Drosophila melanogaster: one gene and its partner. The protein of the gene in region 1 interacts with the protein of each later gene in a pairwise test. Each region holds a gene or a part of one and is shown in the gene's direction. Other genes may lie near its edges. The genes, in order: spn-F and jvl.

Region 1 (7,473 bases):
TGGGCGCAACAAGTTGTTTTTCACGCTACTTGCACAAAAGCAATGGCCAACAACCAACAACCAACAAGCAACGGACAACTGCCAGCAACCAATTTCACTTTCATTTTCTTTTTGGCTTTGCAGCGAAGAAAAGAAAAGCGGACAGCAAAAGCCAAAGTCACGCAGACGCATTAGCGGCCAAAAGAGTTGGCTTGCAGCCAATGCACTCTGCACGGCAAAAAAAAAAAACTAATACATTTTCAATCCAATTTTATAAGGATTTATTTCACATTTGCAAATTTTAAAAGGAATCACTTAAATTGTACTGCTTATAAAAAGTATCTTTTCCTTTTCAAGTTTACCAGAAATGAAATCCTCATATTTTCCATATTTTTCTAACTTCAACTATTTTTACCATTTAACACAACACTTTTCTCGCTGTGTAGGCTTCGCCCGACAGTGAACTTACCAGCAGATCGGGGTAATCCTTGCCCATGCTGAAGCTTAATCCGTGGTAGAGTCGCATGGCCTGCTGTTGAACTTTGGGCGGACTGAATAATCCGGTTGCGGCGGACGGGGCTGTATATCCTGGCCGGGATCCGAAGAGCTGATAGAGCAGCTTGTGCGCCTGCTGGCGACGCGAGCCGCACACGACGCGACCGGAAGTGCTCAAGCAGGCCATTTTGTGGGTTTTGTTTGTGAGGATTTGTAAGTAGCAGGGCTTATGCGATGGTTTTTTTTTTTGTGGGAAGGGTAGGATGCAGCTTCTTGATCGAGACACAGGCACAGAATTCAACAGGTGAACAGCATTATAGTGGGTTTTGTTTATGTTTTTTGCAGGCTCGCAGGATTTGAAAAACGCGCGATTGTGTGGCGAGTTCGGGGTATCGATGGACTAACGATTTCGAGGCGACGGCGAAGCGCGGTTTGCTTGCGTTTGGCTTCAGCAGCTCCAGCGAAGTGTTTTCGCTTTTTGTGGATTTTTGAATCGATGCGCGTGCGCGCGGTCAGGTGTGGTGGGAATCCCACTGGCCGACTGTGGTGGAAACGATCGCTCACGAAGGTAAGATCGGCTTGAACTTGAACGGGGATTTCGGTGGCTAAGGCAGCCACGCGGTTTTACAGTCACTGGGGGTCGAGGTCTGTTTGGATGACCCCAGGCTACCTATGGGTCACACTATTGGAGGGATATATCTGGACTCAAGCGTTGCTCACAGAGGTCCTATGGCCACTACCGCCACTACCAATTAGTCCCGCCAGTGTCCTCATGTTCCGCAACAACTGGGACGCTCAAAGATCCCGATGAAAACGCGTTTTTCCGCCTGGCAAATAGTTTTTATTTAACTCGCACGCAATTTGCACCTTTTCACTACTTTATTTTGACGTAACAGTGCAGAACAGCTGCTGCGAACAGCTGTTTAGGGTTGCAACGTGCGCGGTGACGCAAGGCAGCCGGCTAAAACGTAGCACTAGAAGTGTGCAACGTAAGGCGACAAAGTCTGCAACCTTAAAACGGTAGTTATTTACGGATGCTGACATTATTTTAAAAGTAGTTACACCATTTTTATTGCTCTTTTTTGAATTAACATTTTTACATCTATTTTGTGCCTTACTTACGTTTTTCTATAAACATATCGATAGCACAGCTGTTTCCTCTTGCGCATCTCTAATCACGTTTACGTAAATTTCAGAAGAGCAGCAACAAGATGTCTAGAAATTTGTTTTTATCAATTACAAACTTTATTAGGAACTTAGAGAGCTTGTTCCTGCCACATGGAGGACACCCTCCTGGTGAGAAGCACCAGCCCAAGATAAAGTTACCCTGACTTACCCACTTTTTACACAGCTTTAGCGTTGGCCGGTTTTCAGCATGATCACAGCCCTAAATCCTCCCAGGAATTCAGTTTGAAGCAGCTTATTGGCGACGGATTGCTGTGGGCTGTTCCGAAGCACAGAAGATCCGTGGAGAAACGCCTGAAGCGGAAGTTCGGATATCCGGAATACAACTGGAAGCCTTTGAGGGAGAAGAGAAACCTCCGCTCCTGTCTGCAATGTGGCCATGACCACGAGATGGGAGTTCTTTGTCGTAAGTAGCCTTAAAAGTATACAAAGAGGTAGCCACCTTTAATGTTGCTCTTCCAGCCTTCTGCTACCAAAAGGTCCTGAAGGAGACTGAGCTCATGCAGTCGAAAATCCAGGAGACACTCGGTCTAGATCCCGTGGACAAGGAAGTAATCGTTCTTTATGAAGGCGAGAAGGCCGAACAGTCCACAGATGATCTGAAAAACAAGCGCATCGTGGAGATGAAGAAGCCTCGTCCCATGTGGTTCACCAAGAATCTGCTCCAAAAATCCACGCAGCAGCTGTCCGAAACCAAGGAAGTCAAGCCCTCCGACTTGGCCTAGATACTAAGCATCCATTGTGCATTAAATCCACACGTTCGTTATCAAATCGATGCTATTTTATTCTCTGTGAAGGATAAGGACCTTGCTTGCTTCAGGAATCCGTTGTTAAAGTCCTGGGCACTCATAGGTTTTCTACCTTCCACGCGTAACTGAAGCACTTCCAACTGACTCTGCTGAGCACATCCGATTATGAGGGATCTCGACTTCCTTAGGTAGCTGATGGCACCAGGTTCTTGGACGGGAACTCTCTTCTCCGGTAATCGCAACTCCAGCAACTGCACTTGCTTGCCCAAAAAGTTGGTTGTAAGGTTTTTGTAGCCATACAAAGCTCGATGACGAGTGTATATTTCAATGGCACTCAGCTCGGACCAGATAATTTCTGTGATTTTACTGGTAATCTTGGGAGCTGAAGGCAAAAATATAGTTTATATAGGTTCTCGAAGTGCTTAGATATGCTTTACCATAGCTGACCCTTGAACTATCTTGGGGTTTGGCTTCCTTAAGTCTTACTGATAGGTTGTTAATAGTATCCACAAGTAACTCGGCTCCTAGCGACGCCAAAGATGCATGCAGATCCGGCATGAAGACATCGGGATTAATAGCCACTTCTCGCTGAGCTAAAATCTAAAGCATAAGTCGTCAATACTACTGCATACAATGGTAAGATAAGAATGAACTTACATCACCGATATCGAACCGGTGAGGTTCGATTTTCATGATGGAAACTCCAGTGCTGGCATCTCCCTTCATGATGGCGTATATGATGGGAGCAGCTCCCCGCCATTTGGGTAACAAACTAGCGTGAACATTGATCATCCCATAAGGAAATCCATTGATGATACTACCAGGAATCAGGTGGCCAAAGGAGACCACCACACCCAGATCAAATTGCGGACACACAGAAGGATCTATGGGCCACTTTTGCAGGGGAAGCTTCTCCTTTTCCGCGTAGGTCCTCACACAGTTGGCGGGACTTTTGAAGGAGGTAACAACTCCCAAACGATCACTAAGAAAAATATTCTTATTAATCCAATTTAACATTATTGTTTAAAACATTTTACCCGCAGTTTTTGTGTAGCGCCTGTAAGCTGGGCAAGGAAAAATTGTCGGTACCGAAAAAGAGAATTTTTGGAGGGTGGTAAGTTCCCTTGCAGCGCTGTGCAATTGGGATTACATTCTGCCACACTTTTCTCTTATATTTGTAAAAATTATTGACTAAACTCTTGCCGCAAAACATCGGAAAATTTGTTGGATAATAATGCAGCGTAAACAAAAACAGCTGTTCGCGATACCAGCTGGTCACTCTACCAAATAACGTAATAGGAATGCTGAGATAGAGTGAAACCTGTTGAACCTATCGTCTTCAACCATGTAAATGGTGGTCTAACTTTATAAGATCAAGAGTCGTTATTTTTGTTTAAGTAATTAAACTTAGCTCAATACATTACTTTACTTTTATTTATCTGTCTTCAGTGACTATAGACTATCGGTATAGTGTATATTATTTTTTTAAGTTCATCGCACGGTCATACTAATGAGAACGCAATAAAAATTTGGAAAATCAAACATCTACAGGAAAACGTATATTTTTGGGATCAAGTGCCAAGGAACTCCAATACTGCAGAATGGAGGCATCTGCTGCCAAAATCACGCCTATGGCCAGTTCCATGTCCGCTTCCGGATCCACAAACTCCCCCTCCAGTGAAAAAATGAACTACGCACTGCAAGTGGCGCTGCAGACGATCAAGGAGCGGTGCATCCAGCTGCAGCGCCGCGTGGCCAGCATGGAGGAGGAGAACCAGCAGCTAAGGGAGGCCTCCAGCAGGTCGGAAGGTGCTCCAAGGGCAAACGAAATCGGGGTCACTGGGGACGTCCTCTCTCTGAAAGCACAGGTCTCTGAGCTGCAGCGCCAAAAGGAGCAGCTGGAGGAGCACATTGGCATGGTATCCAACGAGAACAGACGGCTCTGGTCCCGCCTATCGCAGATCTCCAAGGATCAGCAGCTGAACGCACTGCCCAGCTCAACAGACTCGCGAGCCCAGCAAAACCAGAACCTGGTGCGCTCCAAGACCTTTACGCAGCACTCCCCCAATCCTCACCTTCGCCAAAAGATGCTCTCCGACGGCATTAAGGATCTCAGTCTGGAGGAAATAGCCCTGGATGACTTCGGTGCCAGCAGTGAGGAACTAGGTTACCCCTACAACCTGCAAAAGGTGGAGGAAACCACTAGTGAACCAGATGCCAATGTGGATGCCAAAAGATGTTTGGATGGACTGCAGGAGCTGAGGCGAGAGGCCATGAAGCAGCAGCAGGAGCTCAGATCGGTAATGACTCTGCTAGAAAATCGCATAGGTAAGCAACAAAATGGAATTCATGCTATAAAAAAAATAACTTTTAACGCCTGTTTTATGTGCAAGCAGCACTCAAGCCCTGTCCGGAATGTGCCCAGAAAACCATCAAAAAACCGGAGATGGCCGACAAAAGTCTGGAAACGGACGACAGCCTGACCAGCGAGCTGAAGAACTATGAGAGCCAACACAATGGACACAATGGCACGCCGCCCAGCCAGAGAATTAACATAATACAAGAGAAAATCAAAGCAGATGCAGCCGACGCAATGGAGAAGACCTGCCCTATGTGCGGCAAGCAGTACTCCAGCCAAGTGTCCTTCAATGCGTTCCGCGAGCACGTCGAGATGCACTTCATCGACGATGCACTGGAACTGGAGTCGGAGAACAGCATTGAGCGCCAGTTTGAGTTCGTTTCCCATGCTGTGGGTGACTTCTGACCCAGTAGGCGCATTTATTTCGCCACCGAACTCTGACCTGACCGGAGAAATCCAAGGATTAAGGAGCAGTTTGACTGCGCAGGAGCCGCTTGTTACGTTTCTATTGATAAGACGTTAGGGCGATCATGTATCAAAACTATACAACATTGAACTTTAAGAAAAAATATATATATATTGTATTATAATTGCGGAGAGTGCATGAATATATAGATGTAAGTGACCGAATACGAAATACAGTTTAAATGAAAAGCCTGAAAACATGTTGAGCGCTCTCTTCGGTTGGTTGGAAAGTGAAATCGTGGACCGTGGACAACATAAATATTATATTATTAGCGCTGACAAATATTGTAATATCAAAGATGACGATCGATGTTACCATCGCTTGTGGTCATTATCCGATCTAATTGGCAGCTTTTCTGTGAGTCACACACTTTGGGGGAAGAGTGGAACATTCGACAAAGAAGTTTGGCTTGAGGCCATTATGCTGTAACTGGTCAGAGGATTTCCCTGTTTTTTTGGCTATGACGTAGTCGAAACCCGACTGGCAACGTGTGCCTAATCGGGCTGATCCAGTCATTCAATGCGAATATTTGCCAAAATATTGACCATAAGATTTGCCATTGATAGCAATACAAATGCAAATGCTCAGAGCTAACTTTCTTTTAATGCATTTGGAGTGGGTCGCAGCAGGAATTTAGCTTAAGGAAACATTTTAATTTGCCTATGCTAATAAGTTTGATAAATAAATATTTTTAAGACACAGGCACGTGGCAGCTCCCGTGGATACTTTATTACGTTACTATGAAATGCTCAGATAATGAAACAAATTATCAAATCTGGTGCTTATCTACAAGTCGTATAACTGGTAACCCCACCCATTCACCAACCAATGTGCATAGAATTTGTAAGAGTTCAAGCAACTTTTGTTAGATCTTTTCCGCATTTCCAACTAATACTGGGTTTTCCTAGCTCTCATGGTCTATATATTGCGATCCATCCATTTATCATTTCGAAAACCCAGCGCTGCAATTAGTCTGCCACTTGTTGCTACCGTTTGGGGCTAATCACGCGCCACTTAGGTGTCGAATTCAGATCCGATCCGATTCCATTCCGACTTCCCCCCAGACGCCAAGTCTACGTGGGCACCGTGCCCCTCCAAACTATAAAAGATATCGGGGTGTTTATGGCCCGTTTCAGTTGCTCGCAGTTCGCAGTGGCAACAGCATCATATAGAGGCCAACATATCTCCCGCACATTCGCGCCGTATGAATTATGTAAAATCGAAAACGCCGCGAATTTCAATACAAAGACACACGCGTCCGCGGGAATCCAATATTATATATAGTAATATTAGAACAATCACATCTGCGATCTGCAACAATGCAGCCGAATGCCTTTCACAAGCTTTTGTTACTACTACCGCTCGCCTATCAGCATACATCAAATGGTAATTTCGATCCCAGATCTTAAGATAGATATGTAAATCGAATGGAGTGATAAAAGTGCATTAACTAGCCTTCAATGGCAGGAAGTGATAAATGTGCCTCAAAATAGCCTCAAAGCGGTTAAAACACATACTAACTTCCCTCTAAATTATTAAAAATTGGGATTAAACGTTTGAAAGGGTCTTGGCGCACACCCATTACCATTAATTGTATAAGCTACTGTGATTAATCACTCTGCCATACCCTATTTTGGGTTACAGAAACGAGAGAAATGAGAGTCGGCTAATTCCGCCGAATGAAAACAGAAGTGAATTTATTCACGGTCTTGGCTAATAGGATTACCAGATACTGCTGCTAGATGGCTGAAAGAAAGTGAAAACGTCTTAGACCTAACATTTTCTTCAATTTGAAACTTGTAGATCATAAAGACGAATCGCACTGGGACTATGAGACGAACGGACAGAATTGGGGAGGAATTTGCTCTACGGGCGAAAGACAGTCACCCATTTCGTTAAACGTCCAAAAAGTAAGTAACAAATACATATGACACCACTTATGATCAGAATTAGTTAGAGTTCCTTTGCAATGATTTAATGATTTGAACAGCCTTACATTCCTAATCAACTATTTGTTGGTCTTTAGCTTCAGACCTAGTTTAAAGTGATGTAAAGAAATCAATTAAATTTAAAATGTGTATCACCAAATTCGTATTAATTATGCGTGCCAAAACTCAGCCTTATTTCATATGCGCATCTATTTAAGCGCTGTTACTGCATAACAAAATCGTCTAAGAACTTGTATAATATTTGTCAAAAGAAAACATTTAAAATCAGCAACGGATGCTGCGATTGTATGA
Region 2 (8,680 bases), about 17 Mb from region 1:
CTTATATACTACCTACTTTCTGAAAGCATAGGTAACAAACCTAGCAATTGCAATACAGGAAACCCCAAAAAGAATTCTCGAAATGGGAAATGGTCAAAAGTGCATTTCATGGATATCTGCTTATGTTTTCCGGTAGTCGGTTCTTTTGTTTTGCTCTATGATCCAGCTATATGTACATACATATGTATGTATGTACCACGGTTTTCCGGGTGTGCGTACATTTTATGCTGTGTGGTTGGTATGCAAATGATGTAAATTTTAAATGCAGAATTTAAAAACAGATATGTGGGGATACAAAATAAACATTTTTATGCGAGAGCTTCGTTCGAAGCGAGTGCGAGCGAGAGGGAGAGACGTGAAAAATCAAGTTCGTTGGCCCGGACCACAAATGGCGCTGTCTCCTTCTGCCCCACCCCCCGACCAGTCGCTCCATCCCTGTTGCACTCGCACGCACACAGCTGAGCGGCTCCCCTCCCTCTCTCTTACACTCCGACTCTTCTTCACTTATCACAGCTGCCCCACACACACACACTCCAAACGGGGAGAGAGAATGAGGTGTAAGGTAAACCGGCAAAAAAAAAGAATATATATATAAAAAGAATAATGAAGATGAGCTGCGAAAGAGTAGCGCGACTCAGTGGAGAAGTAAGAGGAGGAGCAGCAGGAGGAGGAAGAATGAAGGAGAGTGAGAAGACTGAGCTTCAGTGTATGCGTGTGTTTGTAACGGCACCACAAAATCAGAGTGGAGCACAACAAAAATAGCCGTCGCGAAAAACACCGTGTTTCTTTGCCCCATCTCACTTACTCATTTTGGGAATTGTACCTGTTGAGCAAAAATAAATTACAAGAAATTGTTACATTTCTTTTTTCGTTGGGAGTCGGAGCGGTTATGACTCATATCAGACGAACAAATGAAGTAAAAACAAACACGCACACTTGTGCACAGCAAGAAAATTCGATAATATTATCAATATTAGACCAGGTGCACTACCAATACAAACTTCTATTTAATTCTTATTCGAATAATTAATATTGTGAACTTTAAGAATTGGTTCAGTAAGACTAAATGCCATATGCATTGGTTCTAAAGCCCATTTCGTTCAGTGTACGGTTCAAGTGAGCTCCGATCGGCGTTTAAGCCGTTCTCTCTCGCTCTTTAACTCTCTTTTTTGGCAAATGAGGCCATCTAGAGAAAAAAGGCTTTTGAAGAATTGACCACAAAAAGGGGGCGTGAGTGATTTTAAGAGTTTACTACAATGTATACTTTTATTTCCGGTTTGCCGCTTGCCATTTCGTTTTCATTTAGGCAGGCATTAAAATGTTATAATGGATAGAAAACTACGAAAAACGAGGAAAACTCAATGGCCATGACGCCGACGCAGGCAGCGCTGCTTTTGTCGAGACAGTCAGCAGACCCCCGCCCCACACATTCAAACACAAATACACACCACGCTCACACATACGCATAGATATGAACAAATTCCGCATTCGCTGCTCATTTTGTATGTAAATTATGCTTAATTATAATTTATAACTAATTATTTGGGGGCCCCCTTTTGGCTGACGGTGTTTTGCAACACTAAGCCCCGCTAGCACTCACACACTTGCGCTCTCTTTGGCTCTGCCCCATTGCGCGAGCGGGACCGAATGAGGCCTCAGCTGTCGCGGGCAAAGGGAATGCGCCAGGGCCAGAGCGAGATGGCATGCAATGGCCATAGCCAAGTGATGGCGAGACTTTGTATTTGCGAGCGTTTTAATGTGTGTGTGTGTGGGGTATGACTATGATAACCGGCTTCAAACGTAAAAAAAGATCCCAATTTGCCAAGTAACATTTCCACAACTTCGAGATATTACTAATGCTTTTGAGGAAGGCTGGGATGACTTTGAAAAAATATCGGGTTGTCAGGGCCTTGAACATTGGGGTGTAAAAAAGCATTTACTGGACAAGGACAAACGACGCGCAGGCACTTTAAAAATAATTATCGAAGCACGCACGCTAGAACCACTCTACCTAAATACATATATAAATATATATGCTTGGGGGCAGCACTATTTCTGAATTATCAGCGCAAAAAGTAGGGTTAGGTTAATTTTATACGCTTCTTGCTTTTGCTCTGTTTTATTTTTTGCTGGATCTTTCTGCGGCGCTGGCAGTGTGTGCGTTTATGTGTGACTGTTGCGAGGCTGAGAGTGTGTGCGAGTGCCGTGTACAGCGTGTATTGGGTAACAGCGCCCGTAGAGCTGCGAAAACTCCGCCGTATAGTTGCATTAATGTAAATGCATCCAGGTGCCCGGCACACACGCACACAAACAATGCACATTTGCATTGCACTTTCACGCACACGCATCGCACACACACTTATCCCACACTCTCGCAAAAGTAACGGAAGCGATGACTGCACTACACGTTGCCTTGCCCACCACACACACACATCCTTATACCTTTTTCACCACCCTCAAAATTTCTAATCTGCTCCTAATTACTAACTTATTAATTAAATGGTAACTCCACAGCTCATTTTCTCCCTTCCCTCTTGCACGCTTCTTTCCCCCCGCTTCTTCTTTCTTCTCCTCGGTTACTACCTACGTTTCACATTTCTTGCATAAAATTTTTCTCCCGTTGAAAACTGATGTCTGTTCGCTTTTTTTTTAGACTATCATTTTGGTGTATCGCAAAGGGTTCTGTTCTTTCTTTTTTTAGTCCGTTTCGCAAAGTTTTTTGAGATATTCCTTTTTTCACATACCTTATTGATTCTTTTTAACGCCATTTTCTGATTGAAATTTGATTTTCTGGGTTGTGTGTGTGTTTGGTTGGTTGTGTGTGTGTTTGGTTGGTTGTGTGCTGGTGTTGGTGTCTCGCGTATTTCTTTTGTTCTTCGCACAGAATTGGGTTTTATTCAATATATAATCCTCCTGCTTAGAATTGAACGAAAAACGAAACACAAAGCTGCGTTGCGCCTCTAGAACTTTGATGCTTAAATATGGCTCTTTCGGTTGAGTGTCCCTTGTCACGAAATAAAGCAGCACCAGCGCACTGCAAGTAAAAACGGCGACCCGACGAAGACTACGGCGACGATTATTTTTTCACAATCAATGCGGGGCCTTTCGACCGTTTGTGCGATAGAGACGACCGTTAGTGAGCTGAGAACGCAACGAAGCACAATCGTTACACCGAAGTGTAAGCCCGAGCGAGAGGAATGGTGTGTCTGTGTCGTGTGGTAGTGTTGTGAAGCGGAAGTCCAGCAGAGCAGTCCAGCTATATGACCTTTTCGCTAGGGGTGGCCAGATCGATTGGGTGGCAACGCCTTTTAGGTGAGGGATGAATCAGTTAATTACAATTTGATTGCCAATGCAAGACTCTTCATACTCACTTTAGTTCGGGAACAGCCAGAAGAAATAGTTTTACCGGCAGCGAGGAGGTGTTATATTTTATTCGAACTACCTTCTTATCGATGGTGCGTGCGCCCAAAAGCTTGCAACTTGTATGTAAATTTGTTAACACCCAACGTGTTGCAGGCTGCCGGAATGTTTTTACTGAGCAATTTTGAGATGTTGGTAATCCGAGTTCTTGAAAACTTTCCGACTAGCTACTGAGTTCTACAACTGAATTGACAGGGCGTTATTTTAAAATTTAAATTCACTCCAGAGCGCTGGTCTGGCAAGGCCGACGTGCCAATTCAGGATACTTGTCGATATTTTCCGTTGTGCTATCGATAGTTTTTGGGAATAACAGGCGTTAGTAGATTTTTAGTATTTAGATTTTATTATCATAAGGATGAAAATATTTTTAACAAAATAAACTGGTTCATTTAATTTAACTTTTTATTTTCTCACTACTCCAAATGGCGCTTCCGCTGTCTGAAACTGCCGTTATAATAGTATGAACAGTTAAAACAATCGACGGTAGCTGAATTTAATCAATGCAGCCCTCTTACCCTATACATCGATAGTATCGCATAAACATCGATTTTGGTTCCAGCTCTAACTTTAACTGTCTGCAAAATATTTCAAACAAAAGTGTTTGTTAATTAAGTAATATACTTAATATTAGTGGCTGTTTTGCTTCGACATTGATCGAATTGCGGTTGTGCAAGTGTTTTGTTTGATTTGTTGGCGTGTTTTTCCTAGTTTGGCGGCCCTTTGAACTCGTTCGTGTATCGCCATCTCTCTCCCACCCCCGCAATCGGCTTCGTGCGTATTTTTTTGTGAATTTTTACACAGAACTCACACTTTTGTATGGCCCAAGAATTTGTACAATATTTTTGCACTTGAAAAACAAGAAATAATGAAGAAAGCCAAGATAAACGCGACGATGTGCAAGTGCTAATCATTCAGTTTTGGCAAGCGCTGAACTTCGCTGACTTCTTGAACAGCAAAAAAGATGGAGGAGGATAATGCCAAGGTCCTAAGTAATAACAACAAGAACAACAGAAACAACAATAAGGGACGCCAGCAGCTGCAGGGACACGCCCACAGCTCCGCCACCGCCCACGCCTCCGTCGATATATTTATATTCGATTTATAGTAGCTGTAGTTGTAGTCATGCCAACAACAAAAACGCAAACACAGACAACAACAACTTGCAGCGAAGAGGAAGAAGCGGCGATAATACGAGAAAATTGCGATACGCCAATGGCGACCCCAGCAAATGCAACAACAGCAAACACAACAACTGCAGCACCCATAACAACAACAACAACAACAGTAAATACGCGCAGACAAGAAGAAGCAGCAGCAGTAGCTTCCACACCTAGTGTTACGAAAACGGCAACAACAACAAACATACTAGCCGCTGCAGCGGGATGCCACAAGCCGTTATTCTTCAGCCGCCGCTTTCAGGACAAACGGAACTTTAGCTCGCTACCGCTCTTCGTCTACGCGACCTCGCCATCAACGCACGCCCACTCAGCGGACGGAGTAGGCGTGGCCAAGGAGGCAGCCGCGTTTTGCCACAAGGTGAGTTTGTTGCACAAAGAACCAGATAAACTTGTAATATTAGGAGAACAAGGAACTTCTATAATTGCCAATCAAATATAATATATCCCCTTTAAGTTATGTATTATAAAATGTAGTATTTTATTTAAACTTTGATAATGCCATTTGTATGTATTTAGATTTAACCCCAAAACAGGAAAAGAAAACCAAAAATAAAGAATTCTGGTTGGAACAGAGAGTTTCCAGTTCGAGGGATTCGTTTGGCATGTCACAGAATTGTAATTGTAATAAAACCCCCATGGGTTTTAATACTCATTTTCTACCTTCCACTCTGCCATCTCTTTTTTTCGAGCAATCGCACCGCTCTTTCCGCTCTAAACTTGCGTAATGGATCACTTCCGCTGCACTTGCAACTTGGGTCGTGTCATATCTGAATATATAATTCCCGCCCAATTCATAGTTTAAACAGTAAGCTCCGCCTAAGAAGAACGCGCTAATAACTCCGTGGTTATACTTAAATGAGTTCTTGATCCAGATTATAAATTTAGATACCTAATATTCAAATAGATATAGCTTTAGAAAAGTTGTAAGTTTAGCATGGTTGGTTGTTTCGTTTGTAGCCACTAACTACTGTATTATATTTATAAACGTTCTGCTTGGCTGCCGCAGTCCGCCTATCTGTTCCTCTCGGAAATCGGTGCATGCAGAATCAGATCTCCATTGGAAATGCGTTTTTAATGTTAATCACGAGCGGCTTTAAAAAAATTGTTTACACTGCGTTTTTTTTGGGCTGTTTGTTTTTTTTTTTATATATTTTTATATCAGTACCTTTTTTCGAGTTTCTGCAGCACGGTGATCGCTCAAACGTGTCAGACATTAATGAGCCAACCGCCAACCGCCAAAGCCGAGCATAACTGTGCTTTGTCTCATTTTGATGGGGCTAGGAGTGGTGGACGGAGGGAGGGATGGGGATGGGCGGTATGGGCAGGTGGTTACAGGTGCAGCCATTGACTGGCGCAGCGCTCTCCTTTTGTTGCCGCCCGCTTGCGGTTCGTTCTCTCCCTCCCTCGCATGCCAACCGTACGGTCTGCCCTCTCTGTCGCGCACTGCAACGCTTCACTTGTGCTTCACTGTGCTTGTTGTTTTTGTTGCAGTTCAGTGAGTTGCGACTTGTGCGCTGCTGCTCATAAGCTTCATTAACGTACGTCGGCAAACGCAGACAACAAAGCTCCCGAAAAAAATTGTTTGCCAGTATTTTTTGCCCAGCTTCGGTTTTTCCCGAAGCTACACACATTTTCATGGTCTGGAAAAGTCGATGGGAATGGTTAGAAGAGACATCCTATTGTTCATTTCCTCAAAACATGATACAAGTTTAACGTGCATATCTTATTTGGGTATTTCCAGCAGAATTTGTTAAAAAATTGTCAGTTAAATTGCATTTATTCTTGCAGTCTAATATTATATGTCTTTAAAATAAGAGTTGGAATAACAGAAGAAACATAAAGCAATATTGTAATGATTTGTATTTATTACCTTTCAGGCCGTAAAACCTGGTCAAAACATTAAATTTGCATAAAGTTGTAATAACTTGTAAACCTTTTTTTTATTACCTACATCCAATATTATTTTTATTATTCAATCAAATTGAGATGCAATCTGCATTTTAAATATTTACCTTACGTATTTCTCATGCTTTCTTTTCAAATTTGATGATCAGATCGTTTGACACTTTCCACTGGTTTACTGCGCTTTCTAACGTGGGTTTCCCCCAAAAAAGTGCCCAGTGGGTGTGGCACCCTCGTATGTGATATGCCCCATTCGGTATGGATAGGAATGTTTGTGGGCGATACTTTCGAGGCACAGTGGATCATAGCATTTTGTGGCAGCTTTCGAAACATTCTGATAGATAAGAATGAAAAAGTATAGAACAAGTGAAATGAAATGAACATTTGCACACTTTATTCGCTATTTAAAGCTCGAGAAACAGCCAGCTTTTGTGTTCATTGAGTCAATATTTAATCTTTTTTCTCAAGGTGGCCCAAAATGTGTAAATAAGGCCTTAAATATCCATTTATTTTCCAGACCCACTGTGACCACCGACGGTTATGAATTGAAAGTCTCAGCCTCTGTTGTTATAATACAATTACGTTGCATTGCTGTTAAATCCGTCCTCCTTGTCGGGTGTTGTTTACATTTTCAAATTTAAATCAATTTTGTTTCTGATTGCGGTTTAAGTGGCAGGTTCCAGTCCCCCAGACCCCAGAGCCCAAGTACCCAGTTTTCAGTTTTCAGCCCCATCTCTTGTCTTTCTTTATGTTTATTGCTGCCATATGTGTTCGGTATCTGGATCTGTATCAGTCTGTGTGGCATTCTCGTGTTGTCAAACAATGCGCATATGGATACTGTATCTGTATCTGAATAAATGTATCTTTTATTACCCATATATTGTGGAACAGTTGTTTTGGGTGCAGCGCAAACAATTGTCGAATAGATCTCTCATCTTCCTCGCCCTTCTTTTCCATTTTTTTTTTTTGGAAATATGTTTTTGATTGCTCTTGCCCCCTGGAGACCTCCTCGTATCCCACAAGATTTTCTAGCCACTGTCTAGTTACATTTCACATACAATCAATATTGTGCCCTCTTTCGATTGAGGCGATATATATTTGAATCGATTTATTGCAATTTATTTGAAATGGTTTGATTTTGTAAGCCAATCGCTAGTTTTTTTTATTGTATTGTGCTCATTCATAATAGTAAAATTTCCGCCTAGAGCTCATTTAACTTGTAATTATGGGGGATTTGACTATCTCGCAAGTGGAAAAAGAGATAAGATAAAATGGAACAAATTTTGTGCTGAAATGAAGGATTTACATTGATGGTAAAAATAGATTTTATTGCTAATGAATACACACTAAAAGTTGCAATGAAAATCGTTAGTTTATTATAATGAAATAGATGATTTGCTATTTTATCGAGATTAGATTAGAATTTTTAAAATCTTCCACAGAACTTTAAACGCACAACAAATACAATCTATTAAGTACGAGTCCCCTAGAACATTTGACGTATCAACTTGGTATCTGTTTGCCCAATTAAGTAGTAATATCTCCCTGGTACTTTACTAGATGTTTTTAAAAAATAAACTATTGCAATTTCATTTTAATCTGAATCGTTTGCCCTACAAAAATAACACCAAGGGAGTATAGCGCTGCTATATATCAATTTCATAAAAATCTATTGGTTTTTTTGGAGTGGTTCTCACTTATCTGGCATGGAACCAGGGATTGCTTCACATCCCTCAAGGTCAAAGACTATATATTTTCTGGTTTTATATTGTACATAAGTGTTTATTTATTTCGTTAAATGAATCTTATCATCAAAATGCATCATGAAATGTGATGTTCCTAAATGATTTGATTGCAATCTTAGAATTAAAGATATGCCCTTCACAGAGCTTCGGCACATTTTTAGATATTTGGAAACTAGTAAATGCCAAAAATAAGAGAAAAACCAACTGCATTAGTTCAGTATACAAGTAAATGTTTGATTATTTAATTAAATGCTATTATACAAGTAGTCTATAATCTAGATCTTCAAATTAACGCCGGCGTAACCCTTGGCATTGAGCCCAGTGACCTGGAAGGTGGTACCAGCTGGTTTTGGCTGGTCGAACTTGTTGGCGGTTGTCACATACAAAATATCCAAATTGGGACCTCCAAAAGCCACCGAGGTGATTTGGGTGGTT

What was found.
Region 2: the proteins of spn-F (region 1) and jvl interact in a two-hybrid assay, tested with the Drosophila melanogaster proteins (3 studies listed by BioGRID).

The regions. Positions count from the first base shown.
Region 1 is NT_033777.3:31,251,234-31,258,706, forward strand, and holds spn-F (spn-F), read left to right. Parts: upstream 1-3,893; 5' UTR 3,894-4,009; coding exon 4,010-4,736; intron 4,737-4,804; coding exon 4,805-5,172; coding exon of another isoform or gene 5,173-5,208; 3' UTR 5,209-5,426; downstream 5,427-7,473. Other genes in the region: qless, read right to left, coding at 449-661; mRpL32 (mitochondrial ribosomal protein L32), read left to right, coding at 1,686-1,770, 1,826-2,065, 2,122-2,384; CG1750 (uncharacterized protein), read right to left, coding at 2,426-2,790, 2,846-3,008, 3,066-3,390, 3,446-3,621; CAH6 (carbonic anhydrase 6), read left to right, coding at 6,553-6,619, 7,037-7,143. UniProt on the Drosophila melanogaster protein: Plays a role in oocyte axis determination and microtubule organization during oogenesis. Also required for polarized organization of the bristle. Required, with jvl, for activation of the kinase IKKepsilon in the germ line.
Region 2 is NT_033777.3:14,737,636-14,746,315, forward strand, and holds the start of jvl (javelin-like), read left to right. Parts: upstream 1-3,946; 5' UTR 3,947-4,542; coding exon 4,543-4,956; intron 4,957-8,265; exon of another isoform or gene 8,266-8,520; coding exon of another isoform or gene 8,521-8,680. Other genes in the region: eff (effete), read right to left, coding at 2,745-2,768; smp-30 (senescence marker protein-30), read right to left, coding at 8,521-8,680.